Linked DNA regions of Elephas maximus indicus. The protein of the gene in region 2 interacts with the protein of the main gene of each other region in a biochemical or structural test. Links are inferred from orthologs where the notes say so. Each region holds a gene or a part of one and is shown on either strand. Other genes may lie near its edges.

Evidence for each region.
Region 1: of the proteins of RNF185 (region 2) and CGAS, one has a biochemical effect on the other in vitro, tested with the Homo sapiens proteins (2 studies listed by BioGRID). The link is inferred for Elephas maximus indicus from reciprocal best matches to the Homo sapiens genes RNF185 and CGAS.

The regions. Positions count from the first base shown.
Region 1 is NC_064819.1:136,748,575-136,763,968, forward strand, and holds the start of CGAS (cyclic GMP-AMP synthase), read right to left. Parts: upstream 5,696-15,394; 5' UTR 5,563-5,695; coding exon 4,912-5,562; intron 329-4,911; coding exon 109-328; intron 1-108. UniProt on the Homo sapiens protein: Nucleotidyltransferase that catalyzes the formation of cyclic GMP-AMP (2',3'-cGAMP) from ATP and GTP and plays a key role in innate immunity.
Region 2 is NC_064840.1:25,064,502-25,080,228, forward strand, and holds the start of RNF185 (E3 ubiquitin-protein ligase RNF185), read right to left. Parts: upstream 7,883-15,727; 5' UTR 7,712-7,882; intron 1-7,711. UniProt on the Homo sapiens protein: E3 ubiquitin-protein ligase that regulates selective mitochondrial autophagy by mediating 'Lys-63'-linked polyubiquitination of BNIP1.

The DNA.
Region 1 (15,394 bases), on a different chromosome or scaffold from region 2:
GAGGTCAACAGTTTGCTGCAGGGAGGTCAAGAAAGATCAGGAGACAACAGTACATTGGCAGTAGTAGGTATGATTAGAATTTGAAAAACTGAATGTCAAAAATCTTACCTTTAATGTTTTTGATTTCTTCCTTAATAATTGTCCTAAACTTTGCCAGTACTTTAGAAGCAGATAATACTTCCTTTTCTAAAAACTGATTCAGAGGATTTCCGTTGGGATTTCTTCTGAACTTCACAAAGTAAAAAGCACCACTATCGCCATATTCTTCTAGCTGAATTCTGTAGCCGTCCAGTTTAAACATGATATCAAATTCATTAGGAGCAGATATCTATGAAATAGTAAAAAGAGAACTGAAATGCTTACTTGTGAATATTTTCCAAGGGGCTGCAATTAATTTCTTCTTGAAATTTCTACTTAAAAGTCTACTCTTAAAAACAGAATTCCAAACATTTATACCCTCTGGAAATGGGATTAGAGGAGCTGGGAACAGGTGGAAGAGTTTTACTGGTTTTTTTTTTTATAATTACAACTAATTATAAATGATATCATGTAAGCTTAAAGTCTATCTCAGTTTTATTTCTGAGTTTAAATTTTAGTAAAACTAAAGACCTTTATGATGTTTTCTTTTATATCAAAAGATACTACAGTCACCCTCCTGTAGCCATGGTCTCAAAAATATGTGTAGTCACTTCCTAGCCAGGTGACCAAGAGCCATCTTGTTACAGCTGTTGGCCGCCCAAGCGAGTGTCACCAACAAACCATTCACTACATTAGTGTCTTTGAAGCACAGCATTTTTAAGAGCATCAAATGATCTTATTTTTCACCTCATAATAATAATTACAGCAATTTTAATAAATGTTTATTTTTCCTAAAAAAATGTCAAGAGCCTTTCATTAGGAGTATGCTTTAAGTATAGCTCTTTGACTGCACTGTTCAATACCGTAGCTAGTAGCCATATATGTCTAGTGAACACATGAAATATGGCTAGTTTGAGTTGAGATGTACTGAAAGTAAAACACACACTGGGAATGATGTCAATGAGAATGATGGAGTAAGAACCTCCAAAAGCTTGCTCCTTCATAAAAGCAGTAAGAACACAGGACAAACTCAACTTTTTCAGAACTCTGAATTAACCAAAGGCTTGCAACAATCCAAGGAGCTCTGAACTCTGTAAATTAACCAAAGACTTGCAAAAATCTGAGGAGTGTCTATTCAAGAAAAATGGTCAAACCTCAGTAACAACAGTGAGCTTTGTGGTGTTCTAAATTGCCCTATTTCCACACTCAGCACCTTAAAGGCTTCCTCATTCCCACTTCCTGTCAGTAACCCTCCACCAAAGCTAGCCAGTATTTTGACTTCTAATAACAGAAAGTTTGCCTGTTTGGGAACTTCATATAAACAAAATCATATAGTATGTACTCTTTTACATCAGAGTTTTTTCATTCAAATTATGTGCGAATCATCAATATTGTTCTGCACATTGGCAGTTCTTTATCATTCTATGTAGTATTCCACTGAATTAATGGAATATATCAAAATATACTTACCAACTCTGTTGATGGATATTTCGGTTGTTTACAGTTTTGTTTTTTTTTTTAATTTATTTATTGATGTTGAGAATACACCCAGCGAAATGTTTATGGTTTTTAACTACTACAATTAATGCTGTCCTGGGCATTCTTGCATATGCCTTTTGGTGGACATGACCACTCATTTCTACTGTGTATATATACCCAAGAGTGGAACTGTTGGACTATAGGGTAGGTGTATCTTTAACTTTAGAAAAAACTGCCGACTTTCTAAAGAGGTAGTACCTATTTATCTTCCTACCACCAATGTAAGGGAGTTTCAGTTGCTCCGTATCTTCTCCAACACTTGAAACTGTCAAGTCTATTTTATTTTTAGCCATTCTAATAGATGTGTGGTAGAATCTCATCATAATTTTAATTTGCATTTTCCTGATATTAATGACGCTGAGCACCTCTCATATGTTTATTGCTATCTGGATGACATACTAAATATCTGATCAAGTCTTTTGCCCATTTTTAGTTTGTCTTTCTGTTATTGATTTGTAGTTCTTTATATATTCTGAGTATGAGTCCTTTTTCAAATATATATATATTGCAAACATCTTCTCCTAGTCTATGGTTTGCATTTTTACTCTCTCAATGGCATCTTTTGATGAACAGCAGCTCTTAATTTTAATAAAGTCTAATTTACCTATTTTTTCTTTTATGGTTAGCATTTGTAGTGTCCTGTTTAAGAAATATTTGCACATTCCAAGGTTATGAAGTTATTATCCTATGCCTTCTTTTAGAAGCATTATTGTTTTATCTCTTACCTTTAGGCCTATGACACATCTCAAATGATTTTTTGTGTATGATGTGAGGTAGGGGTCAAGGTGCATGTTTTTCTCATGGGGATATACAACTGCTCCAATATCATTTATTTAAAAGACCACCTCTCCCCATCGAATTACATATATTGCATATGTTGTGTACTGTATTGACTTATATGCGTTGGTGGGTCTGTGTCTGGATATTTTATTCTATTGGCCTATTTGTCTATCATTGCACCAATACCACGTGCTTAATCAGGATTTATAGTAAGTCTTGGTATCTGGTAGGGTAAATTCTCCAACATTGTTCTCCTTTAGAACTGCCTTGACTATTCTGGGTGCTTGCGTTTCCATATAAGTGTTATAACCAGCTGGTCAGCTTAAATAAAAAACTGGTGGATTTTGACTGAGATTACATTGAATCTGTAAATCAATTTGGGGAAAACTAAGCACTGTTTGGCTTTCCATTTACTTAGTACTTCTTCAAATTTACTCAGTAATACTTGGAAGTTTTGAACATCTTTAACAAAACTTATTCCTAATCATTTGATGTTTTGATGTTATTGTAAATTATATTTTTTATCATTTTAAACCTGTTTTTGCTATTATATTGAAATACTTTTGATTTTTGTGTATCGACTTTGTATCTAGCAACCTTGCTAAATTCACTAATTATTTCTAATAGTTTGTACAAAAGCCCAATCAAGTCATCTGTGCATAGCAATTTTATTTCTTCTTTTCCAATTTCATGCATTTTATTTATTTTTCTTGCCTTATTTCATTGGCTATATGTATTCTTTAGCTTTATTCAACATTACGTTTGTAAGATTCATTCATGTTGCTGCACATTGCTATAGTTTGTTACTTTTCTTGACTGGTTAATGTGTCATTGCATAATTAATTGATTTCTATGTAATGTTTTCATTCAGTCCAAACTATATAAATAATAAAGTATATTAACAACCAAGACAGTAAGAACTAAAAATAAAAAAAAAAAAAAGAACTATACAGACTGGCAATTCTACAGGGGGTGTTTACAAAAAATTTACGAGATATTTTCCAGATTTGTATCCAGGAATTGATAATATTACAATATATGAATGCTGATATACAGTCAGGTAAATAAATCACTAAGGAGTATATATTGTCTGTCCTTTCAGAGCCTGGAATCCAAGTTTGAAATCAAGTTTATGTATATATACATAATGGAAGAAAATACAGCAAAATGATAACACTGAATAAAATAAATATTATTTTTCTTCTATATGCTTTTCTGACTTTTCCAAGGTTATCAACACAAAGAGGTGAATATGGAAGAGGCTGAGGAGAAGGTTGAGAAAGGGAATCTTAAGACAGACCACCCATCCCTTCTTCTTCAGCCTATTCATTCATTCATTAGCTTGAGGGCTTGCTATGTGTTAAGACTAAGAGATACAGAGATGCATATATTTAGCCTGCTCTCTTAAGAGTTTATAATGCTAAAACCCTAAATCTTGAGTATTACAATCATCCTCCTTCCAGAAAGAAGTAGGTAGTTGAATAAAGCCAACATTTAACTCTAAAGATATGATTAGTTTAATGAGGAAACCCTGGTGGTGTAGCGGTTAAGTGCTATGGCTGCTAACCCAAGGGTCGACAGTTCGAATCCACCAGGCGCTCCCTGGAGGCTCCATGGTGCAGTTAGTTCTACCCTGTCCTATAGGGTCGCTATGAGTCGGAATTGACTTGACGGCACTGGGTTTGGTTTTCTGGTTTTACTTTAATAAAGATATGTTATCAGCCTCTATTTGTGTTCATGCTTCACCCAAGATCTTACATAAAGCTAAAGAAGGTGCATAGCCCAGCACTCAGAAAGCTGACAGACAAAAACACAATCAAATAAATTTGCCACTGATCAGGAAATAAACTCAAGTCAGGAAACTGCTCCAAACAGTCAATTTATACTGGAAATATTATTTTAATGACTCAATCGCCCACAAACAAATGGAGCTCTGGAAAATAGATTTAAAAGCAATTATATTGGTGTGTATTTAGGAAGTATGCTTTTTAATACCTACAGAATTTCATTTAATTTTTTCTAACATCACTGTGAATTTCCCATATCTGTATAGAAATGGGAAGGGGTGGCAAGGGGTAACTGAAGACATTTGTCCTATAAAGTACGGATGTCCCCCTCGTAGGAAAAAGTCTCTTAGATACATAAATTTTGTGGAGTTCCTCGCAAATCACTCTCAATCATCGTTAGAGTTTAACAACACCTAGTATTGCTAGAGAAATTCAATACATCTCAGCTTACATGAATGAATCTATACATTTGAAATCCCTCATAGCAGTGTCTGGAGAGTGGCTGGCAATCAATATCGGTTAGTCGGATCACCGTTAGATGAACAGACGAATAAGTGAACGAACAAGTGTTTGTCGACTTAATTAGAACTCTGCACAAGCCACCACGGAACAGGAGTCTAAGTTACTTCCGAAGGGAGGTGAGGGACCGCGACCCGAGGGAGAGAAGGAAGTCGGAGAGGCTGGAAAGGGGGCCGAGGAAGCCCAGCCGGCGCGCTGGGCAGCTCACCTTCACGCGCTCATAGTAGCTCCCAGTGCGCAACTGGGAGATGCCTTTGAACGCTGATTCACAGCTCTGCAGTCTCCGCAGCAGGCAATCCACGACCCCGTTCACGATCTCAGCCGCCGAGGTGATCTCCTGACGTCTCAACTTCAACTTTTCCAGCACTGCCCGAAGCTTAATATAGGCACCGTCCGCCGACTCTCTTCGGCCGAGGTTCGGGGCCGGGACCAGCGATCGCGGGATCCGCAACTCCTTAGGCCCGGGCGCGGACCTCTGCTCTCTAGCGGATTCCGCGTCCTCTTCGCAGCGAGATCCCCCCCCGGGAACCGGCGCCCTCAGAGGCGCGGAAGGCCTCTCTCCCTCCAAACAGACGCAGGTGGCGGCGCCCAAGGGCTCCGTGTCCCCGGCGCAAAGGGGCGCCTTTTTGGAGCGGGCCCCCTGCGGCCTCTCCTGGGGGCCCGGGGCGCTCTTCCTCCTCAGGGACTCCGACTTCCCAGCCCGGCCGCACCTTTCTCTGGAGGACTGCGCGGCCCCGGAGGCAGGCGAAGATTTGTCTGACTTCTCCAGGGCGCCTCCTGCACTCGGCGCTGAGCCTTTAGGGGCCGCGGCTTCGACCTTTTTAGGTGTCCGCGTTGCCTTTCCCTGCCGAGGGTCCATGCCGTGGGCTCTCTGCTCCTCGAAAGGTAACTTGACTTCGGATAAACGCCCTCAGAAGGAGACAGCAGAAATGGAGTAAGAAATGAAACTTAAGAATGACGGTAACTGAGCGGGAAAGCGTCCGCCGCCTGGAGGCCAGCACGCATTGGAGGGGAACTCGACGCTGGGCGGTCACAGGAAGCTACGCCCCCGCCGCCTGGGGCAGGCCACCGCGTGCTGGAGAGTGGGTATATTCTCACCCTCAGTGGGAACGGTGCCACTGGTTTGGGTACAGTACTTAACGCAAGGAGAGGAAGGCAGAAAACACTGTACAATTTCTTGAGGGCTTTGGTCGCCAAACTTACTTGCTGGAGTACCACCTAGACGAATTTTGGAAAACAAGGTACCTTCTCTCCAGGGCATTGAACCGGTTCTGCCCAGTTCGATCAAAGTCAAGGAGCAGACCCGAGGTTTTAAAATTTGGGTGAACCGAAACAATAACCAAAATGGGAAAAATTACTTGTTGAAGCCTTGCTGGAAACCTAATCTCTTTCTTAGAAAAATAAGAGCAATATCCCATTGCATGGCAACCAAATCTCTTGCCCTTAGGATTTTGAGCAGAGCTCAGAAAACGGTACCCCATCAAGGCGGCAGCTAACCTTGCCGCTTTGTGTATCACTCTGCACAGTCCTAGCAATAATCAACCTCCCGTATGAGGCGCCTGCAAGGGCTCACTATGCCTCTTCCAAGTCTCCCATTCCAGGGCTTCCACTGGTAATTTTTTCATTCCGGTTATTCTGGTTCCGGTTTCGCTTCACTGGCCTTGACTGAACGTGTATTGGACAGCTCCATAGTATTGTATTAAAAATTCTATTTTCTTTACTTGGCTTCCTCTCCCCCAACTTTGCATTTGAATTCTGCTTTTATGTAAACCCCATTGCGCCTGCTTTCCTTTTACAACGAAATAAAGGTGCCTTTCCTGTTCTCCCACCTCGTTCTCTCACTTATTGGCTAGTAGAAGTCATGCCGAGCAGAACCTGGGGTTTCGTCCAGTAACAAATTGGAACCAGTGTGAAGCCCTGCAAGTAGACAAACTTTTGAAGTAGACAAGCTTTTTTAGGCTTTTGGGGTATATCCATAAACAAAGATCCCTTCTCTCCTGGAGCTTACGTTCTGGTAAGCTGGAAGAACATTGTCGGTAGAAACAGACAGTAGACAATAAATATATTACATAGGTAAGTTATCTTATATGGTAGACGATGATAAGCACTATTGAAAAAGGAAAAAATATGGGTCGGCAACCAATGTCACAAAACAATTTAGGTATGAACAGTTTAATAAGAAACCAATTTGCTCTGTCAACTTTCACCTAAATCACAATTTAAAAAAGAAGAAAAAGGAAAAAGTAGTGCAAAGTGGATTGGGAATGAGAGGTGGTGCACTACTGAAATACTGAGAAAGTTACTGTCTTAGTTACCTGGTGCTGCTGTAACACAAATACCACAAGTGGACGGCTTTAACAAAGAGAAATTTATTCTCCCCAGTCTAGGAGGCTAGAAATCCAAATTTAGGGGTGCCAGTTCCAGGGGAAGTCTTTCTCTCTCTGTTGGCTCTGGGGGAAGGTCCTTGTCATCAATCTTCCCGGGTCGAGAAGCTTCTCCCCGCAGGGACCGCTGGTCCAAAGGACCACTATTCTCCTGGCTCTTGTTTCTTGGTGGTATGAGGTCCCCCTGTCTCTCTGCTCACTTCTCTTTTATATCTCAACAACTGACTCAAGTAACAATCTTGTAATGAGTCCTGCCTCATTAAAGTAACTGCCTCTAATCCTTCCTCATTAACATCATAGAGATAGGATTGACCATACGCTGGAAAATCACATCGGATGTCAAAATGGTGAACAATCACACAATACTGGGAATCATAACTTAGCCAAGTTTACACACATTTTGGGGGGACACAATTCAATCCATACCAGTGACATTTGAGCAGATTTAAAGGAGGGGATTCCTAGGGAAATAGCGTTCCAAACAGAAAGAGAAGCTAACAAAATGACCTAAGGTGAGATCATGCCCAGTCGTTGAAACAACATCAAGTGTGGCTGGAGCACGTTAACTATGAGATGTATCATTGTCTCTTAGCTCCGAATGCACCTTTCAATAGATGCTGTACAATAAACAACAGAATGCCTTTAAGCATTTCTCCTTTAAAGCAAGCACAATGTTAAGCTTTCTCAGTAGAGATTGCTGGAGGGACACTGGAGGATGAAGAAGATTCCCGAGATTTCCAGTGGGGGGTGCGGAGTGGACAAAGCATGGGTGAGGGGAAAAAAAGTTAGCCTTTTGTGGGTGTGACAGCATTGGGTGGAGTTTGTTTGTGTCAGAGGCACAGAAAGTGATCCCTCCGCAACCTTGCAGCCTTGGTCTGGCAATAACCCATCCACAGCACTCTCAGCTCAAAAACTAAACTACTGCATGCCCTGCACACAGCCACCTGTGGTCCACAGGGTCACACATGGAGGTGCTTCTCCCTCTGAAAGTCACTAAGTGCTCCCTGAAAGCCTTCTGCAGACACCCACTGGTTAACAGATACCCCCTGCTTGCTCTCCACCCTCCACTGTGGCAGTTTGCCTGTTGTTTGCTTAGCAACTCCAGACTAGCTCCAGTCTGGCTAAACCAGCAAACTTCTCTGTTATCTGATAGCCAATGTATAACCTCCTATGAAGTCTGAACTTCTTCCAAGTTTGTCCTTCCTTGGGTACTCTCCCTCAGCCCTAAGTTACCACATAAAGTTTCCTTATATCTTGTACTCTTTTATTATAGTTAATAATTCTTATATTAAACTCCCCCAATTTAACCTATTGTGTGATTTCTATCTCCTGATTGAACCCAGGTTGCTACATGGTTCATAACAAGAATGGTCCCAAGATTGCCCTAAAATAGTCTTTAAACCTTAAACCAAATGTTTCCACTGAAGTCTTCTTAAAACCAAACAATAATTTAGCTTAACTAGTAAGAAATAAGAAATGTCTGCCTCGAGCATTATGCTCTTTTAAGAACATTATGCTCTTTTACGTCCCAACCAAACAATAGAGAAGCCCATAAGTTAAACAATAACACCCCAGAGGAATGTACTTCTTGGAAAAATTAATTACAGGAAATCAAAGGGCAATATCTACCTGCCTGTCTTAGTCTTCTAGTGCTGTTATAACAGAAATACCACAAGTGGCTGGCTTTAACAAATGGAATTTTGTTCTCTCACTGTTTAGGAGGCTAGAAGTCTGGGGGAAGGTCCTTGTCATTAATCTTCTGGTCTAGGAGCTTCTCAGCGCAGGGACTCCAGGTCCAAAGGAGGTGCTGTGCTCCCAGTGCTTCTTTTTTGGGGGTATGAGGTCCCCCTTCTGCTCACTTCTCTCTTTTATATCTCAAAAGAGATCAACTCATGTAACAACCTAATCTTGTAGCTTGAGTCCTGCCCCAATATAACTGCCTCTAAGTCTGCCTCACGAATATCATAAAAGTAGGATTTACAACACGTAGGAAAATCACATCAGATGACAAAATGGTGGACAATCACACAATACTGGGAATCATGGCTTAGCCAAATTGATACACATTTTGGGGGGACACAATTCAATCCATGTTGCTGTTGTTCAGTGCCGTCAAGTTGGTTCCGATTCAATCCATAACACTGACCAAAAACAAATATGAGAAGGCAGGAAGGGGTAGAAAATCAGGACTAAAGGAAATGGGGAACCAAGGGTGCAAATGGGGAGAGTGCTGACCCATTGTGGGGAGTGAAACCACAGTCATGACATGCTTTTTGTACAAACTATCAAATAGGAAACTAATTTGCTCTGTAAAACTTTCACCTAATGCACAATTTAGGAAAAAAAAAAAAGGAACTATCTATTTGGGATCAACTTGACAACAGCAACTTGAAAGATTAGATAGGAAATTTAGGGGGCAGTGAATCTATGTTAATGGAGAAGGAACAACTCAGAAAAGGAAAGTGAGTATGGTTGCAGAACTTGAAGAACGTGATCAATGTCACTGAATTGTACATGTAAAAAAACATGTAGAAACTGTTAAATTGGTGTATGTTTTGCTGTGTATATTCTCAACAATGACAATAAAATAAATAAAATTTAAAAAGAAAAAAAAAGTCCCAGAAGACTCATAAAGACAGAATTTTGAGATTGATTTGGTCGTGCCGTTGGGCTTGAGCACAGTGCTCAAGGAGGAAAAACAAGCAAAGTAGACTGAGAAAGAACAGCCAGAAATACAGGAGGAAAACTCGTGTAGTTTGATGTTTGGAAGTAGGGGCAAATTAACCAGTGAGCAAGGTGTCTTAGTTATCTAGTGCTGCTATAACAGAAATACCACAAGTGGATGGCTTTAATAAACAGAAATTTATTCTCTCTCAATCTAGTAGGCTGTAAGTCCAAATTCAGGGTGCCAGCTCCAGGGGAAGGCTTTCTCTCTTTGTAGGTTCTGGAGGAAGGTCCTTGTCATCAATCTTCTCCTGGACTAGGAGCTTCTCAGCAAAGGAACTGCTTTCTTGGTGGTTGAGGTCCCCGAACTCTCTGCTCACTTCTCGTTCCTTTTATCTCTTGTAAGATAAAAGGTGATGCAGGCCACACCTCAGGGAAACTCCCTTTGCATTGGATCAAGGATATGACTTGAGTAAGGTTGTTACATCCCACCCTAATCCTTTTTAACATAACCCAATCTTGCCTCATTAACCACAGGCAGAGGTTAGGGTTTACAAAACATAGGAAAATTACATCAATTATGAAATGGAAGTCAACCACACAATACTGGGAATCATGCCCTAACCAAGCTGACACATATTTTGGGGGGACACAATTCAATCTATAATACAAGGTAAGCACAGGCTTACTTGGGCTTACTAATCTATAGTGAAAATTTCACATACGAAAAAAATGTGAAATTGTTCATTACAGATTAGTAGGTAAGAACAAGTGTGGATCGTAAAAAATTATGGATAACATTGTGGAGAATGGGAATTCCGGAACACTTAATTGTGCTCATAAGGAATCTGTACATAGATCAAGAGGCAGTCATTTGAACAGATCAAGGGGATACTACATGGTTTAAAGTCAGGAAAGGTGTATGTCAGGGTTGTATCCTTTCACCATACCTATTCAATCTGTAGCTGAGCAAATAATCCTAGAAGCTGGACTGTATGAAGAAGAATGGGGCATCAGGATTGGAGCAAGAATCATTAAGAAGCTGCGTTATGCAGATGACCAACCTTGCTTGCTGAAAATGAAGAGGACTTGAAGCACTTACAGATGAAGATCAAAGACCACAGCCTTCAGTATGGACTGCACCTCAGCATAAAGAAAAAAAAATCCTCACAACTGGACAAATAAGCAACATTATGATAAATGGAGAAAAGGCTGACTTTGTCAAGGATTTCATTTTACTTGGATCCACAATCAACACCCATAGAAGCAGCAGTAGAGAAATCAAACGATGCATTGCATTGGGCAAATCAGCTGCAAGAGATCTCTTTAAAGTATTAAAAAGCAAAAGATGTCACCTTGAGGACGAAGGTGCACCTGACCCAAGCCATGGTGTATTCAATTGCCTCATATGCATGCGAAAGCTGGACAATGAATAAGGAAGACCAAAGAAGGACTGGCACCTTTGAATTGTGGTGTTGGTGAAGAATAATGAATATACCATGGACTGCCAAAAGAACGAACAAATCTGTCTTGGAGGAAGTATAACCAGAATGCTCCTTGGAAGCAAGGATGGCAAGACTGCATCTCACATACTTGGACATGTTGTCAGGAGGGATCAGTCCCTGGAGAAGGACATCGTGCTTGGTAAAGTAGAGGGTCAGCGAAAAAGAGGAAGACCCTCAATGAGGTGGATTGACACAGTGGCTGCAACAATGGGCTCAAGCATAGCAACAACTGTGAGGATGGCACAGGACTGGGCAGTGTTTCACTCTGTTGTACATAGGGTCACTACGAGTTGGAACTGACTCAATGGCACCTAACAACAACAACACACTCATCAAAAGACTTCACCAAAAGAGTAAAAAGAGAACCTACAGACCGGGAAAAAATTTTTGACTATTACAAATCAGACAAAAGTCTAATCTCTAAAATCTACACGAAAATCCAACACTCTACAACAAAAAGACAAATAATCCAATTAAAATATGGGCAAAGGAAATGGACACTTCATCAAAGAAGATATTCAAGCGGCCAACAGACACATGAGGAAATGCTCGTGATCACTAGCCATTAGAGAAATGCAAATTAAACCACAATGAGATACAATCTCACCCTAGCACTACTGACACGAATCAAAAAAACAGGAAATAAGAAATATCGAGAGGCTACGGGAAGATCAGAACTCTTAGGCACTGCTGGAAGAATGCAAAATGATACAACCATTTTGGAAAATGGTATGGCGCTTCCTTAGAAAGCTAGAAATAGAAATACCATTTGATCCAGCAATCCTACTCCTAGGAATATATCCTAGAGAAATAAGAGTCATCACACAAATAGACATATACACACCCATGTTCACTGCAGCATTGTTCACAATAGCAAAAAGAGAGAACCTATGCCCATTAACAGATGAATGGATAAGCAAATTATGGAGTATTACACAACAGTAAGGAACAATGATGAATCTGTGAAGCATCTCATAATCTGGATGAATCTGGAGGGCCTTATGCTGAGTGAAATAAGTCAATCACAAAAGGACAAATATTGTACGAGACCACTACTATAAAAACTTATGAAAAGGTTTACACACAAAAAGAAACAATCTTTGATGGTTACAAGAGAGGGGAGGAAAGGGAGTGGAAAAACACTAAATATACAACAGGTAAGTGGTAACTTTGGTAAAGGGTAAGACAGTACACAATACTGGGGAAGCCAGAACAACTCATAAAAGGCAAGGTCACGGAAGCTCCACAGACACATTCAAACTCCCTGAGGGACCAAATTGCTGGGCTGAGGGCTGTGGGGACCATGGTCTCAGGGAACATCTAGCTCAATTGGCATAACATAGTTTATAAAGAAAATGTTCTACATTCTACTTTGGCGAGTAGCATCTGGGGTCTTAAAAGCCTATGAGTTGCCATCTAAGATACTCCACTGGCCTCATCCCTTCGGGAGCAAGGGTGAATGAAGAAAACTAAAGATAAAAAAAAAAAATACAAGGGAAAAATTAGTCCAAAGGACTAATAGGCCACATCTACCATGGCCTCCACCAGATTGAGTACGGTACAACTAGATGGTGCCCAGCTACCACTACTGCCTGCTCTGACAGGGATCACAATAGAGGGTCCTGGACGCAGCCGGAGAAAAATGTAGATCAAAATTCTAACTCAAAAAAAAAAAAAAAAAAAAGACCAGATTTACTGGCCTGACAGAGACTGGAGAAACATCGAGGGTATGACCCCCGGACAACCTTTTAGCTCAGTAATGATGTCACTCCTGAGGTTTACACTTTGGCCAAAGACAAAATGAGACTAAAGGGGTACACCAGCCCACGGCAAGGACTAGAAGGCAGGAGAGAAGAGGAAAGCTGGTAATAGGGAACCCAGTGTCGAGAAGGGAGAGTGCTAACATGCCGTGGGGCTGTTAACCAATGTCTTAAACCTTTGCTCTGTAACCCTGCATCTAAAGTACAATTGAAAAAAAAGAAAGAAATGGGTGTGAAGCCCATTAGCAGATGAATGGATAAACAAATTATGGTACATATACAAAATGCAATACTACGCCAACAATAAAGAACAATGATGAATCTGCGAAATATCTCACAACATGGATGAATCTGGAGGGCATTATGCTGAGTGAAATAAGTCAACACTAAAGGACAAATGTTGCATGAAACCACTGTTACAAAAATTCAAGAGAAGATTTATACACAGAAAAAAACAATCTTTGATGGTATCTTAACAGAAATACCACAAGTGAATGGTTTTAACAAAGAGAAATTTATTCTATCATAGTCTGGTAGGCTAGAAGTCCAAATTCAGAGTGTCAGCTCCGGGGGAAGGCTTTCTCTCTGCTGGCTCTGGAGGAAGATCCTTGTCATCAATCTTCCCCGGATCTGGGAGCTTCTCAGGCTCAGGGACTCCTGGTCCAAAGGATGTGCTCTGTTCCCGGTGCTACTTTCTTGCTAGTATGAGGTCCCCAACTCTCTGTTCATTTCCCTTTTCTTTCATCTCTTGTAAGACAAAAGATGATGCAGGCCCCACCCCATTGGATCCTTACCTGAGTAAGGATGTTACATCCCATCCTAATCCTCTTTAACATAATCTAATCTTGCTTCATTAATCACAGAGATTAGGATTTACAAAACACAGGAAAATTACATGAATCATAAAATAGAGGACGACCACACAATACTGGGAATCATGATCTAACCAAATTGACACATATTTTGGGGGGACACAATTTAATCTATGACAGATGTTACGAGGGAAGGGAGGGGTGAGGAAAGGAAATCACTAACTAGGTAGTAGACACATCCAAACACCTTGAGAGACCAAGTTACTGGGGCTGAAGGCTGGGGACCATGGTCTCTGGGGACATTTAGGTCAACTGGTATAACATAGCTCATAACGAAAATGTTCTACATCTTCGTTGAGTAGCCTCTGGGGCCTTAAAAGCTCGCAAGCAGCCATCTAAAATACATCTAGTGGTCCCACAATGTTCAGAGAAAAGGAGAATGAAGAAAACCAAAGACACAAGGAAAGTAACAGTCCAAAGGACTAATGGATCAGAAGAACCACAGCCTCCGCCAGCCTGAGCCCAGAACTAGATGGTGCATAAAAATAGCCAACTACGGCTCTGACAGGGATCACAATAGTGGGTCCCAGACAGAGCGGGAGAAAAATGTAGAACAAAATTCAAATTCAAAAAAAAGACCAGACTGAATGGTCTGACAGAGTCTTGAGGGACTCCCGAGACTATGGCCCCTGGACACGCTGCTAACTCAGAGCTGAAGCCACTCCAGAAGTCCACCCTTCAGCCAAAGATTAGACAGGCGTATAAAACAAACAGTAACACATTTGAGAAATGTGTTTCTCAGTTCAATCAAGTATAGGAGACCTAATGCGCAGCACCTGCCCAAAAGCAAAGACCAGAAGGCAGGAAGGGGTAGGAAAACCTGATGAATGGACATGGGGAACCCAGGGAATAAAGGAAAGGGGGAGAGTGCTGATACATTGTGAGGATTGCAACCAATGTCACAAAACAGTTTGTGCATAAATTTTTGAATAAGAAACTAATTTGTGCTCTAAACTGTCACCTAAAATGAAATTAAAAAAAAAAAAATCAAAAAGCTATTTAAAAAAAAAGGGTGTGAAGCAGAAATGCATTAACATATGAGATGTTAAATTGTTAAATGTTCCTTTTGCCTTGAATGACATTCTTCTTCTCTGAAGAATCAAATCCCATAAAGTTTGTGGGGAGGTTAGAGGTATGAGGGTAGGAGAAGGAGGAAAAAAGCATTTCAGACTGAGAGAACAGCAAATGCAAAAGTAAGGTATCTCGTTCTGTATGGTAGAAGGCATGAAAGAGATAGAAAAAGGTATTTGGAAGCCAGATAATAAAGGACCTCCCAAGGACTCTTCTTTCCTTTCATGATGAATTACTTCAGGGTTAACTGAAGCAAGCCTTCCCTGTCATCTGCCATGAAAGGACCATTCCCTTTCTGTTCCCTGTATTCATAGCTCACTGTGGGCAATATTTATTATAGCACTTATTGCATTGTCTCATAACTGTGTGCATGCCAGTCACTAGTCTAGGAACTCTATGAGGCTAGGAATTGAGTTTATTCATTTTTGTAACCCC
Region 2 (15,727 bases):
TGTTTGACACAGAGTCGGAACCAACTCAATGATGTACTTCTCCAGGGACTGGTCCCTCCTGGTAACATGCCGAAAGTACGTGAAACGAAGTCTTACTATCTTCGCTTCCGAGGAGCACTCTGGCCGTACTTCTTCCAAGACAGTTTTGTTTGTTCTTCTGGCAGTCCATGGTTATTCAATATTCTTTGCCAACACTCTAATTCAAAGGCATCAATTCTTCTTCGGTCTTCCTTATTCACTGTCCAGCTTTCATATGCATATGAGGTAACTGAAATCATCACTGCTTGGGTCAGGTGCACCTTAGGCCTGAAAGTGACATCTTTGCTTTTCAACACTTTGAAGAGGTCTCTTGCAACAGATCTGTCCAATGCAATACATCATTTGGTTTTGACTGCTGTTTCCACTCCAAAAAAAAAAACCCCAAAAATTGAAAACATAAGTTCAAACATAAGTTCAAAACACTTGTACATGGATGTTTATAGCAGTATTATTCACAATAGCTCAAAGGTGGAAGCAACCCAAATGTCCATCAACTGATGAATGGATAAACAAAAAGTGCTACATCCCTACAATGGAATACTATTCAGCCGTAAAAAGGAATGAAGCACTGATAAATACTACAACATAAACCTTGAAAACATTGTGCTTAATGAAAGAAGTCAGACACAAAAAGCCACATATTACATGATTTCATCTAGATGAAATGTCCAGAACAGGCAAATCCACAGAAACAAAGAAACAAAAAATAGATTAGTGGCTAGTAGGGGATAGAAGAAGCAGCCCTGATGATGCAGTGGTTAAACCACTCAACTGCTAACCAAAACTCTGGTGGTTCGAATCCACAAGCTGCTCTGTGGGAGAGAGATGTAGCAGTCTTCTTCTCTAAAGATTTATAGCCTTGAAAACTCTATGGGACAGTTCTACTCTGTCTTATAGGGTTGTTATGAGTAGAAATTGACTTGACAGCAGTTTTTTTGGTTAGGGGTAGGAGGGAAAAATGGGGAGCACCTGCTAATGAATGGGGAGTTTCTTTTTGGGGTAATAAAAATGTTCCGAAATTATATAGGTGGTGTCTTAGTCATCTAGTGCTGCTGTAACAGAATTACCACAAGCGGATGGTTTTAACAAAGAGAAATTTCACAGTAAGGTAGGCTAAAACTCCAAATTCAGGGTGTAAGCTCCAGGGGAAAGTTTTCCCTCTCTGTTGGCCTTCTCGTCAGTCTTCCCCTGGACTAGGAGCTTCTCCATGCAGGGACCCCAGATCCAAAGGACATGCTCTGCTCTTGCTTTCTTGGTGGTATGAGGACCCCGGTCTCTCTGCTCGCTTCTCTTTTACATCTCAACAGATTGCCTGAAGACACAATCCAATCTTGTAGATTGAGTACTGCCCCACTAACACAACTGCCGCCCATCCTCCCTCAATATTATAAAGACAGAGTTTACAACATATAGGAAAATCACACAATACTGGTCACACATTTTTTAGGGGACATAATTCAATCTATAACAGGTGGTGATGGTTCCACAACCTTGTGAATATACTAAGGACCAACGAATTATAAACCATAAAACGGTGAATTTTACTACGTATGAATTAAATCTCAATTAAAAAAAAATTGAAAGAAACTATAAAACAACTGGCCAGTCCTTTTCAAAAGTGTTAATCATGGAAGACAAAAAAAAAAAAAAAAAAAAAAAACCAAGGAACTGTCCCAAGTTGGAACAGACTAAGGAGACTTGACAACTAAATGTGATATGGGATCTTGGATTTGGTGCTGGAACAGAAAAAGGATGTAAGTGGGACAAGTGGTAAAATTAGAATTGTTGTTGTTAGGTGTCAACTTGGTTAGGCCATGATTCTCATATTATGTAATTATTCTCCATTTTGTGATCTGATGTAATTATCCTCCACTTCATGATCTGGTATAATTATCCTCCATTTTGTGACAAAATGTAATCGCATCCATAATGTGATCACCCAGTTATAAGCGGAGTTTCCCTGGGGGTGTGGCCTGCACCCTACATATATATATGGACATTCTGGCAAAGCTCTTGCTTGCTCTGGATACTTTTCCTGGCTTGTTATCATCTGATCTCTGGTTCTTGGGGCTTAAACCTGCAACCTGTCACCTGATCTGCTGACTTTGGAATTTGTCAGCTCAGCAGCCCTGTGAGCCACCAGCCTGCAGTCTGACCTGCTGAATCTAGGTTTGTCAACCCCTGCAGCTACATGAGTCAGAAGAAGCCTCCAGCCAACCTCTGACCCACAGACTTTGGGACTTGTCAGCCTCCACAACAGCATGAGCATTCCCTGAGATCTCTCTCTCTCTACATATATATATGTATATATGTATGTATGTATGTATACATACTTCCACTGGTTTTGCTTCTCTAGAGAATCCAGCTTAAGACAGGTGCCGTCGAGTCGGTTCCAACTCATAGTGACCCTATGTACAACGGAACGAAACAATGTCTGTCCTGCGTCATCCTCACAATTATTGTTATGCTTGAGCCCACTGCGGCAGCCACTATGTCGATCCATCTCATTGAGGGTCTTCCTCTGTTCCACTGACCTTCTACTTTACCAAGCATGATGTCCTTCTCCAAGGACTGGTCCCTCTTCAATAACATGTACAAAGCAAGTTAAGACGAAGTCTTGCATTCCTCGCTTCTAAGGAGCATTCTGGCTGTACTTCTTCCAACATACACTTGTTCATTTTTCTGGCAGTCCATGGTACGTTCAATATTCTTTGCCAACATCATAACTGAAAGGCATCAATTCCTCTTTGGTCGTCCTTACTCATGGTCCACCTCTTGCATGCATATGAGGCAATTGAAAATACCATGGCTTGGATCAGGCACACCTTAGTCCTCAAAGTGACATCTTTGCTTTTCAATACTTTAGACAGATCATTTGCAGCAGATGTGTCCAATGCAATACAACATTTGATTTCTTGGCTGCTGTTTCCACGGGGGTTGATTGTGGATCCAAGTAAAATGAAATCCTTGACAACTTCAATATTGTCTCTGCTTATCATGATGTTGCTTACTAGTCCAGTTGTGAGGATTTTTCTTTTCTTTACGTTGAGGGGTAATCCACATTGAATGCCGTAGTCTTTGATCTTCATCAATAAGTGCTTCAAGTCCTCTTCGCTTTCAGCGAGAAAGGTTGTGTCACCTGCATATTGCAGGCTGTTAATGAATCTTCCTCCAGTGTTGATGCTGTGTTCTTCATCTCGTCCAGCTTTTCGGATTACTTGCTCAGCATACCGACTGAATAAATATGGTGAAAGGATACGCCCTGAGACACACCTTTCCTGATATTAAAACACGAAGTATCCCCTTGTTCTGTTTGAACAACTGCCTCTTGGTCTATGCACAGGTTCCGCATGAGTACAATTAAGTGTCCTGGAATTCCCATTCTATGCGATGTTACCCATAATCTGTTATGATCCACAGAGTCAAATGCTTTGCACAGTCAATAAAACACAGGTAAACATCTTTCTGGTGCACTCGGCTTTCACCCAAGATTCACTTGACATCAGCAATGATATCCCTCGTTCCACATCCTCTTCTGAATCCAGCTTGAATTTTTCGCAGTTCCCTGTCAATGTACTGCTGCAACTGTTTTTGAATGATCTTCAGCAAAATTTTACTTGCGCATGATAGTAATGATATTCTTTGACAATTTCCATGTTCTGCTGGATCACTAATCTCTTCCAGTCGGTTGGCCAGGTAGCTGTCTTCCAAATTTCTTGGCATAGTTGAGTGAACACTTCCAGTGCTGTGTTTGTTTGCTGAAACATCTCAATTGGTACTCCGTCAATTCCTAAAGCCTTGTTTTTCGCCAATGTCTTCAGTGCAGCTTGAATTTCTTCCTTCAATACCATCGATTGTTGGCCATATGCTACCTCCTGAAATGGTTGAATGTTGACCACATCTTTTTGGTATAGTGACTCTGTATATTCCTTCCATCTTCTTTCAGTGGACCCTGCATCATTCAATATTTTGCCCATAACCAAAACCATAGAATCCCTCAATATTGTAACTTGAGGTTTGAATTTTTTTTCTTTCTTTCAGCTGGAGAAATGCTGAGTGTATTCTTCCCTTTCAATTTTCTAGCTCCAGGTCTTTACACATTTCATTATACTTTGTCTTCCCAACCCACCCTTTGAAATCTTCTGTTCAGCTCTTTTATTTCATCATTTCCTCCATTCTTTTTAGCTACTGTATGTTCAAGAGCAGGTTTCAGAGTCTCTTCTGATATCCATTTTGGTCTTTTCTTTCTTTTTAATGACCTTTTGTTTTCTTCATGTATCATGTTCTTGGCATCATCTCACAGCTCGTCTGGTCTTCAATCTCGTGTTCAATGTGTCAAATCTACTCTTAAGATGGTCTCCAAATTCAGTGGGATATAGTCAAGGTCATACTTTGGCTCTCGTGGACTTGTTTTAAGTTTCTTCAGCTTCAACTGAACTTGCATATGAGCAACTGATGTCTGTTCTGCAGTCAGCCCCTGGCCTTGTTCTGACTGATGATATTGAGCTTCTCCATCAGCTCTTTCCACAGATGTAGTTGATTTGATTCCCACGTATTCCATCTGGTGAGGTCCACAGGTATAGTCAGCATTTATGCTGTTGAAAAAAGGTATTTTCAATGAACAGGTTGTTGATCTTGCAAAATTCTACCATGCAATCTCCGGTGTCGTTTCTATCACCAAGGCCATATTTTCCAACTGCTGATTCTTCTTCGTTTCCAACCACAAGTAATTATCAACGCATCTTGACTGCATGTTTGATCAATTTCAGACTGCAGAAGTTGGTATAATAAAAAAAATAAACTTCAGTCTCTTCATCTTTGGCATTACTGGCTGATGCGTAAATTTGAACAATCATCGTATTAACTGGTCTTTCTTATAGGCACATGGATATTATCCTTTCACTGATAGCACTGTACTTCGGAATAGAAAAAATTAGAATAAGGTCTATAAATTAGCTAGGAGTGTACTGATGTCAATTTCCTTGTTTAAATAATTTTATTATGGTTATGTAGGAAGCTGGGTAAAGGGTATACAAAAAATTTGTGTATTATTTTTGCAACTTTTTTTAAATCTAAAATTATTTCAAAATAAAGACTTTAAAAAAATTGTACCTGATACAGGTCAGCAGTCATCAATTTTTTTTCTGGAAATGGCCATATAGAAAATACTTTAAACTTTGTGGGCTGTATGGTCTTTGTGACCACTGCTCAACTCTGCTGTTGTAGCATTAAAGAAATCAAAGGCAATATATAAATGAATGGGAGGGGCTGTGTTCCAGGAAAACTTTTATTTATGGACACTGATACCTCATTTTCCTATAATTTTCACATATCATGAAATATTATTCTTCTTTTGATTTATTCCCCACCATTTAAAAATGTAAAAACCATTTTTAGCTCACAGGCCATGCAAAAACAGTGGGGTCACATTTGTCCCACAGGCTGTAGTTTGCATACCGCTGGTCTAGGTGAGAACTGGCTAATGTGTGCTTCATTTAAAAAGCAAGAGTGTTTTACTCAAATAAGTTTGACAGTATTAAACAAGGTTAAACACATTTCTTTATTGCAAAACTTCTCAGTGCCTTTAATATGGTACTATAAACTGAGAAATTTCAAGAAGGGATAATAGTACGTAGCTTTTCCCGAACTTATATTTACCACAGAACCACCTTTTCAGCAGCATATCTTCAGATTAGTGACCTGAAGAGCACACTCATGAAAATGTTAATTTAGGTACTTCTTTAAAAAGGAAACCTTTAGATTAAGAAGTTTTAAACACTTATCTCCCAACCACCAAATTAAGATCATTTCACCTGGCACCTGGATAGTATCTGAACAAGCATTTCACAACTGTTTTTAAACATGGGAAACACACACAAACAAGCAGATAAACACAGGCAGGAAGTCTTGGCTCAACTCCGACCTTTTCTTTTTTTGCATGTCAGCAGAATTGAGTCGTAACATGGATTCTCGGCTCCATAGGGCAACTTATGCATTCTTAACCACTCTAACAGACTTTTAAAAAGTGAACTACTCTGAATTCTGCAGATCACAAAATAAGGAACTCTGGTGTCCGATTAGAAAACTAAAGTTATATCAGAAGTACTATCTGCAGATTACACACTAGCGACGATGAACTGGCCGGTTAAGTCCGTAAGAGGACAGGTTTCATATGCTGGATGAAAAGTTAGCCAATAGACTGCAAAAACTCTCTGTCTGCACAACATCTATACAACACACACTGCTGGTGAGAGGATTAAGGAAGGATTTATGTCTGAGGGAGGAGAAGGCTGGCCTGCACAATCTCAAAGTGTCCTTCCAACTGAGACTTCTCCACTCTGTAACCCAAAGAGTTCACTGGCTTTACCTGATCAAACACAAAATCTTAAGGGGGCACTTCCAAGGTGTCCTAAGAAAATAAACTATTAAACGATGGAGATGGGGAACTGCTTAGTTATTTGTTCAACAAACATTTAAGGAACCCCTATGAGATGTTGAGCCATTCCAAAGTCCCTGAAAAGAGGGATGGTGCAAAGAATAAGCAGGCATAGATTACATAAGGCCAGACCCACTGGCTTTACTCCCAGGGTTGGGGGTCATCCAAGAAAAAGAGGCAGAAAAAAGAAGTCACATGTACTTTGAGGGTAGAGTCAGCACCAGAAAGGGTCAAAATAACTACTTAGAATCAGAGACTTTCAAGGTGGAAAAAACATCCACCTAATGCCTACACACCTCCTGAACAGGGAGTCACTACCTCTTGAGGCAATCTATTCCATTGCTGCTCACCTCTGATGGTTCTTCCATTAAGTGCTTCTATTAAGTCAAAATCTTCTCTTCCTGATACTAGTTCTGCCTCCTTCAGTCCCAAAGAAGTGGAAGCCCTCCTTGACATAAAACCTTTTGCTTTTTAACGACACTTCCTCCCTTCCAGTGCACTCTTTGCTGGGCTAACCATTACAATTCTTTCAAGATCCTGAACAGGCTCTAGCTGCCTCAAAGCGAAGAATGAATCCTTGTACTCCCAGCAAGAAAGCACCTAATATTAGTGGGTTTCAAACATGAGTACGTATAGGATTCCCACGACTCTTATCCAGATTCTAAACCAGAGGTTTTATGTGAGGCCCAGGAATCTGCATTTTAAAACACGCATCCCGGGGGATTTTGAAGCAGATGGTGTGAGAATCATATTTTGACGAGTAGTACCCCGTTTTACAAATGAGAAAGCCGAGGCCCAGCACAGGAAGGAGATTTGGCCCAGAACACACAACTGACTGTAGGTGGCGAAGTCTCCAACACAGGTCTCTGACTCCCAGTCCAACTCTGTTCACCACGTTTCCTAGCCTCGGCCTCTATACTAGGGCAAACGCGTTAAAAGCAACCCCACGGTGAGACAGGAGGTCCCGTGCGGGGGTGGAAGGGCGCGAAGGGAGTTAGGGTCAGTCCCTGTCTGGAAGGGAGCGCTGGAGGGAGTCTCTCCCCTTCTTCGGGACGGAAAATCAAGACGCTAGCCCCATTTCCTTCCGAGGCAGAAGGCCCAGGGCATGGCCGTGCTTGTTGCCTCCGAGTTCCGGGTCTCAGGTGCCACAGCCCGTGGGCCCCAGGAAGGCAGAACCCGGTCCCACGTCCCCGGCTCCCAGCCTCGCCAGGCCCGCCACCCCAGACCCTCACGTACCTGCCTCCGCGCACCTAACGCCGCCTAGGCCACTCCACCCTGTCGGCCTGTCGGCTGACCTGCCAGTCAACCGGCCAAGGAGTCCGTGTGGCAAGACCTTCGACCCCACCTACGCGAACTCTAGTCACCTGACTCGGAGCCGCCCCTCTTAAGGACTTCCGGCCGCGACCGGAAAAGGTTGGTCCGCTGCGCCGTTCTCGGGTCTAGGACCCGGATCTAAGGTTCCGCCTGCGGACGGGAAGCGGTTAGCTTTTCGAAGCGCTAGAGTAGGGGTTCTTTGAAGAAGAGACTGATAACCAGAGCTAGGGCAAGGAAAGTGTGGAATGAGCTTGTTCCATCAGAATTTAAGGAGGTGTTCTTAGAATAATAGGCATATGTCAAAGGACACAAGCAAACTCGAAGAGGATCCCACTGGCCAAATTGGGACAATTTTAGCATCAAAATACATAATGATAGTAATGGAATATAGCTAATTGAACAAAATAGTAATTCATGAGTCTTTGCTGACATAAAGAAGTGAATAAATAAATAAATGGAGAAGACGGTAAAACTCTATAGTAGAATGCCAACTAATAAACATGATAGAGAACCAACAAATATCCTAAAGGAATAGGTTATTTAGACTGTAAAAGTGTCTCCCATAAATTACTTATTAACTACAAAAGGAAAGTATTAGTTTTACAGAGGTGTAACCTAGTGGGAAGAAACCCGGGTGGCGTAGTGATTAAGAGTTTGGCTGCTAATCAAAAGGTCGGCAGTTTCAATCCACCAGGTGCTCCCTGGAAACACTATGGGGCAATTCTACTCTGTCCTGTAGGGTTGCTATGAGTCGGAATGGACTCCACGACAACGGTTTTGGTTTTTGGTTGACACAGTGGAACAAATGATCAAAGTAATGGACGTTAAGATTACCAGGAGTTCAAGTAGAGATCACGTGCCTCTGAAAACAATGCACTGAGAAGGACAGAACATCTCTTCTGCCAAAAATGTCTAACTTGAACCTTAAGAGGAAGCATTAGATAAACGCACATTGAGGGAGATTCTACAAAATAAGTAACATGTACTCTTCAAAAATGTCAGTGTCATTACAGACAGAGAAAGGCTGTGAAACTGTTCCAGTTTAAAGAGACTAAAAACAAACGACAACTAAATGTGATGTGTAATTCTAAATTGGACCCTGGACTGGGGGTGGGGGCAGGGGATAGCTTTAACGGACCACACTGGAACAGGTGATGAGATTTTAATATGGATTATGGGTTAGCTATTAATATGTATTTTTTCAACGTTAAATTTTCGGAACTTGATCACTGTACTGTAGTTATGTTAAGAGAATGTCCTTAGGAAATACTCACGGAAGTATTCAGGAGTAAATAGACACAGTTTCTCCAACTTAATTTCAAATGATTTAGAAAAAATGCATATATGTAAAAATAGAGAATGATTAAGAAAATGAGACAAAACAAACTTTTGGTGAATCTAGGTAAAGCTTGTATGGGAGTTCCTTATATAGTTTTTGCAACTTTTCTGTAAGTTTGAAATGATACAAAAATTAAAATTTACAAAAAAATGTGGGGGGAGGTGGCTGGGTCCTTGCCAATTCATTTATTTATCTATTAAACTTTGATTATTGCTTTCCACATGCCAGTTCCTGTGCCAGGCACTGGCGATGCAGTGAGAGACAGGATAATGTGCTTTTATGCCTAGTGGAAAAGATGTTAAACTAACTTGTAATCACACAAGTAATGGACCAGAACAAAACATTGCACAGTTCTGCGCCATCCTCACGTTCATCGTTATGTTTGAGCCCCTTGTTGAAGCTAATGTGTCAATCCATCTCGTTGAGAGTATTCCTCTTTTTTGCTGACCCTCTGCCTTACCAAGAATGACGTCCTTCTCCAGGGACTGATCCCTCCTGATACAGTCTATCATTCTTCACTTCTAAGGAGCATTCTGGCTGTACTTCTTACAAGACAGATTTGTTCATTCTTCTGGCAGCCCATGGTATGTTCAGTATTCTTTGCCAACACCGTAAACCAAAGGCATCAATTCTTCTTCTTTATTCCTATTCATTGTCCAATTTTCACATGCATATGAGGTGATTGGAAATACCACGGCTTGGGTCAGCCACACTTTAGTCCTCAAAGTGACATTTTTTGCTTTTCAACACTTTAGAGAGGTCTTTTACAGCAGATTTGCCCAGTGCAATGCGTCTTTTGATTTCTCAACTGCTGCTTCCATGGGTGTTGATTGTGGATCCGAGTAAAATGAAATCCTTGACAACTTTGATATTTTCTCTGTTTGTCATGATGTTGCTTACTTGTCCAGTTGTCAAGACTTTTATTTTCTTTATGTTGAGGTATAATTCATACTGAAGGCTGTAGTCTTTGATCTTCATCAGTAAGTACTTCAAGTCCTCTGCTTTCAGCAAGCAAGGTTGTATCATCTGCATATTGCAAGTTGTTAATGAGTCTTCCTCCCGTGTTAATGCTGTGTACTTCTTCATCTAGTCCAGCTTTTCCAATGATTTGCTCAGTATACAGATTGAATAAGTATGGTGAAAGGATACACCCTGAGACACACCTTTCTTGATTTTAAAACACGAAGTATCCCCTTGTTCTGTTTGAACAACTGCCTCTTGGTCTATGTACAAGTTCCACATGAGTACAATTAACTGTCCTGGAATTTCCAATCCTTGCAATATTATCCATAATTTGTTATGATCCACACGGTTGAATGCCTTTACATAGTCAATAAAACACAGGTAAACATCTTCCTGGTATTCTCTGCTTTCAGCCAAGATCCTCCTGACATCAGCAATGATATCCCTCATTCCATGTCCTCTTTTGAATCCAGCTTGAATTTCTGGCAGTTCCCTGTTAATGTACTGCTGTAACCATTTTTTAATGATCTTCAGCAAAATTTTCCTTGTGTGTGATATTAATGATATTCTTTGACACTCTCCACATTCTGTTGGATCACTTTTCTTTGGAATGGGCACAAATATGGATCTCTTCTAGCTGGTTGGCTAGGTAGCTGTCTTCCATATTTCCTGGATAGAAGAGTGAGCATCTCTAGCACTGCATTTGTTTGCTGAAACATCTCACTTCATAGTCCATTAATTCCCGGAGCCTTGTTTTTCACCAGTGCTTTCAGTGCAGCTTTGACTTCTTCCTTCAATACCATTGTTTCTTGATCACATGCTGCCTCCTGAAATGGTTAAATGTCAACCAAAGCTTTTTGGTACAGTGACTCTGTGTATTCCTCCATCTGCTCTTGATGCCTTCTGCAGCATTCAATATTTTCCCCATTGTCTTGGACATTTAATGATGCAAAAGAGAAATACCACAAGTGGATGGCTTCAAAAAAGATAAATTTATTCTCTTGCAGTCTAGTAGGCTAGAAGTTCAAATTCAGGGTATCGGCTCCAGAGGAAGGCTTTCTCTTCTTGGCTCTGGAGGAAGGCTCTTGTCATCAATCTTCCCCAGACTAGGAGCTTCTCCATGCAGGAACCCCAGGTCCAAAGGATGCACTCTGTTCCTGGCACTGCTTTCTTGGTGGTATGAGGTCCCTGTGTCTCTCTGCTCGTTTTTCTCTTTGATATTTCAAAAGAGATTGGCTTAAGATACTATGTAATCATGTAGCTCTCATCAGTATAGCTGGCACTAATCCATCTCATTACATCACAGTGATAGGAATTTACAACACATAGGGAAATCACAGCAGATGACAATAGACAATTATATGATACTGGGAATCATGACCTAGCCAAGCTGACAGATATTTTGGGGGGACACAATTCAATCCATGACACCCATAAAAACAAACCTGTTGCCACCGGGTTGATTCCGACTCATAGCAACCTGAAAGGACAGAGTAGGCCTGCCCTATAGGGTTTCCAAGGAGTGGCTGGTGGTTCCGCCTGCTGACCTTTTGGTTAGCAGACAAGCTCTTCAAAATTGGAACTTCAGTTTTGAATTTTTTCTTCAGCTCTTTCAGCTTGAGAAATGCTGAGCATGTTCTTCCCTTTCGCTTTTTTAACTTCAGGTCTTTGCACATGTCAATATAATACTTTATCTTCTCAAGCTGCCCTTTGAAATATTCTGTTCAGCTTTTTTACTTCATCATTTTTTTCCATTCCCTTTAACTACTCTACATCCAAGAGCAAGTTTCAGAGTCTCTCCTGATATCCATTTTGGTCTTTTCTTTCTTCCCTGTCTTTTTAATGACCTTTTGCTTTCATCATGTATGATGTACTTGATGTCATCCTATAGCTTGTCTGGTCTTTGGTCATTAGTGTTCAACACGTCGAATCTGTTCTTGAAATGGTCTCCAAATTCAGGTGGGATATACTTAAAGTTGCATTTTGGCTTTTGCAGACTTGTTTTAATTTTCTTCAGCTTCAACTTGAACTTGCATATGAGCAACTGATGGTCTGTTCTGAAGTCAGCCTGTGGCCTTGTTATGACTGATGATACTAAGCTTTTCCATGGTCTCTTTCCGCAGATATGGTTGATTTGGTTCCTGTGTTTTCCATCCAGTGAGATCCACATGTATAGTCACTGTTTATGTTGTTGAAAAAGGTATCTGCAATGAATGTCTGTCAGTATGTAGTTCTGTGGTGGCTTGCGTGTTGCTGTGATGCTGGAAGCTATGCCACCAATATTTCAAATACCAGCAGTCACCCATGGTGGATAGGTTTTAGCAGAGCTTCCAGACTAAGGCTGTGAAGAAGGACCTGGCAGTCTACTTCTGAAAAAATTGGCCAATGAAAACCTTATGAACAGCAGCAGAACATTGTTTGATATAGTGCCGGACGATGAGCGCCTCAGCTTGGAAGACACTCAAAATACGACTGGGGAAGAACTGCCTCCTCAAAGTAGTGTCGACCTTAATGATGTTGCAGTAAAGCTTTCAAGACCTTCATTTGCTGATGTGGCATAACTCAAAATGAGAAGAAACAGCTGCAAATATCCATTAATAACCACAACGTGGAATGTACAATGTATGAATCTGGGAAAATTGGAAGTCGTCAAAGATGAAATGGTATGCATAAAGACCTATATGGTAGGCATTGTTGTTGTTGTTGTTGTGTGCCATCGAGTCGATTCCAACTAATAGTAACCCTATAGGACAGAGTAAAACTGCACAATAGGGTTTCCAAGGAGTGGAAAGGTGGATTTGAACTGCCTACCTTTGATTAGTGACCTGAGCTCTTAACCACTTCGCCACCATGGCTCCATAAAAAATATGGAATGCTCCACAAATTTGGGTGTCATCCTAGGCATTAGTGAGCTGAAATTGACTGATACTGGCCATTTTGAATCAGAAAATCATATGGTCTACTATGCCAGGAGTCACAAATTGCAGAGGAATGGTGCCACATTCATTGTCAACAAGAACATTTCAAGATCCATTCTGAAGTACAATGCTGTCAGTGATAGGATGATATCCATAAATCTACAAGGAAGACCAGTTAATAAGACTGTTATTCATATTTACACACCAACCACTAATGCCATAGATGGGTGTCATGGATTGAATTGTGTCCCCCCAAAATATGTGTCAACTTGGTTAAGCCATGATTCCCAGTATTATGTGGCTGTCCTCCATTTTGTGATTGAAATTTTCCTGTGTTTTGTAAATTCTAATATCTGTCTGTGGTTAATGAGGCAAGATTAGAATACATTAAAGAGGATGAGGGTGGGATTGTAACATCCTTACTAAGGCCACATCCCTGATCCAATGTAAAGGGAGTTTCCCTGGGCTATGGCCTGCACCACCTTTTATCACTCAAGAGATAAAAGGAAGGGAAGTGAGCAGAGAGTTGGAGATTTTATACCATCAAGAAAACAGTGCCAGGAGCAGAGTATGTCCTTTGGACCTGGGGTTCCTGCATGGAGAAGCTCCTAGTCCTGGGAAAGATTAATGAGAGGGACCTTCCTCCAGAGCTGACAGAGAGAGCTAGTCCTGGAGCTGATGCCCTGAATTTGGACTTCCATCCTACTAGACTGTGAGAAAATAAATTTCTCTTCGTTAAAGACATCCACTTGTGGTACTTCTGTTATAGCAGCACTAGGCAAGGAAGACAATGAGGAAATTGAAGATTTTTACCATCTTCTGCAGTCTGAAGTTGACCAAACATGCAGTCAGGATGCATTGATAATTACTGGTGATTGGAATGCGAAAGTTGGAAACAAAGAAAAGGGATCGGTAGTTGGAAAATATGGGCTTGGTGATAGAAATGACACTGGAGATCGCGTTATAGAATTTTGCAAGACCAATGACATTCATTGCAAATACCTTTTTTTTTTTGAGTAATAGACTACTTATCTTAAAAAATAATGATAGCAATTAACTTGCTATGTAAACTTTCACCTAAATCATAATAAAAATAAATAATGACAGTTATCATTTGTTCAGCATAACTAGGTTTACAGTGTTTCATTTGGTCCTTACAGTCACCCTATGAATGGCTTTGGTGATTATCTCCATTTTACAGATGGGTAAAGGAAAATTTAAAGCTTGCACAATTTTATCATTCAATAAAAAGTTTTTTTTTAAATAATACTTTATTGTGTTTTCAGTGAAGCTTTACATAGCAGTTTATGTTCTCATTCAACAATTTCCACCCAAATTGTTCAGTGACATTGGTTACATTCTTCACAGTGCATTACCATTATTATTTCTGTTCTGTTCCCATTAATCTAGTTTACCTGTCCCCTTCTCATCTTTGTTTTAAAGTAATTGTTGACCATTTGGTCTCATATAGATGATTTTTTAAAGGCGCACAGTACTCACAGGTGATATTCTTTATTTTGTTAGACCATCTGTTACTTAGCTAAAAGGTGACCTCAGGGCCTAATTTCCATTCAAGGTTTAAAGAGTATCTCAGGCCAATAGTCTCAGGGAGTCCTTCAGTCTCAACTGGTCCAGTAAATCTGGATTTTTTTAGAATATGAGGTTTGGCTCCACATTTTTCTCCCATTCTATCAGGATCTATCTGTTGTAGCCCTGATCAGAATAGTCAGTAGTGGTAGCTGGACGCCATTTGTTCTGGACTCAGGGCAAATGAGGCCATGCTTTGTGTAGACTATTAGTTCTGTAACCAGTTCTTTGAGTCTGTTGTTTCCTTCTTTCTCTTCTGTTCTGGACGAGTAGAGACCAAGAGTTGTAACTTAGATGGCTGCTCGCAAGCTTTTAAAACCCCAGACGCCACTTACCAAAGTAGGATGTAGAACATAAACTTTATGAGGTATATTATGCTAATTGTTCCATGAGACTATGGTCCTAAGCCTTCAAACCCAGAACACAAATCCTACAATGTGTTTGGTTATGTCTAGGAAGTATCTGTAACTATGCTCTTGTGTGCTTTTTTATATATATATGAATACATATGCATGCACACATATATATGTATATATGTATGCATAAACCTATACACACACATATCTACCCACATATATATATATACCTATGCACATACATGCCTACATACATACCCCAACATATATTTTTTGGTTGTTGTTGCAAAATTATACATGCCATAGCAATTACCAAAAGATGCTTTTTTCTTATGTACATCTTGGTGACATCATTTACCTTGGTCATGCAGTGCACACTTCACCCTCATTCGGTGTCACCTTTCCCATCACCAAAAATAACAAGTGTTTACTGTCTAGAGAGTGAATTCCCCCCACCACCATCCATCTCTGGTAATCACTAAAGGACATTCCAAAAACCAAACCAAACCCATTGCCGTTGAGTCGATTTTGACTCATAGTGACCCTATAGGGCAGAGTAGAACTGCCCCATACAATTTCCAAGGAGCAGCTGGTAGATCTGAGCTCTTCACCATTGTGCCACTAGGGCTCCTAATGGACACTAGTTTCTGTATGTATTTACCTTTTCATGTGATTTCATAAAAGTAGGAACATAAATACTTGGTTTTGTTTTTTGAGATTGACTTATTTCACTCAATGTAATATCCCCCATTCAGAAACTCATATTTTTTTTATT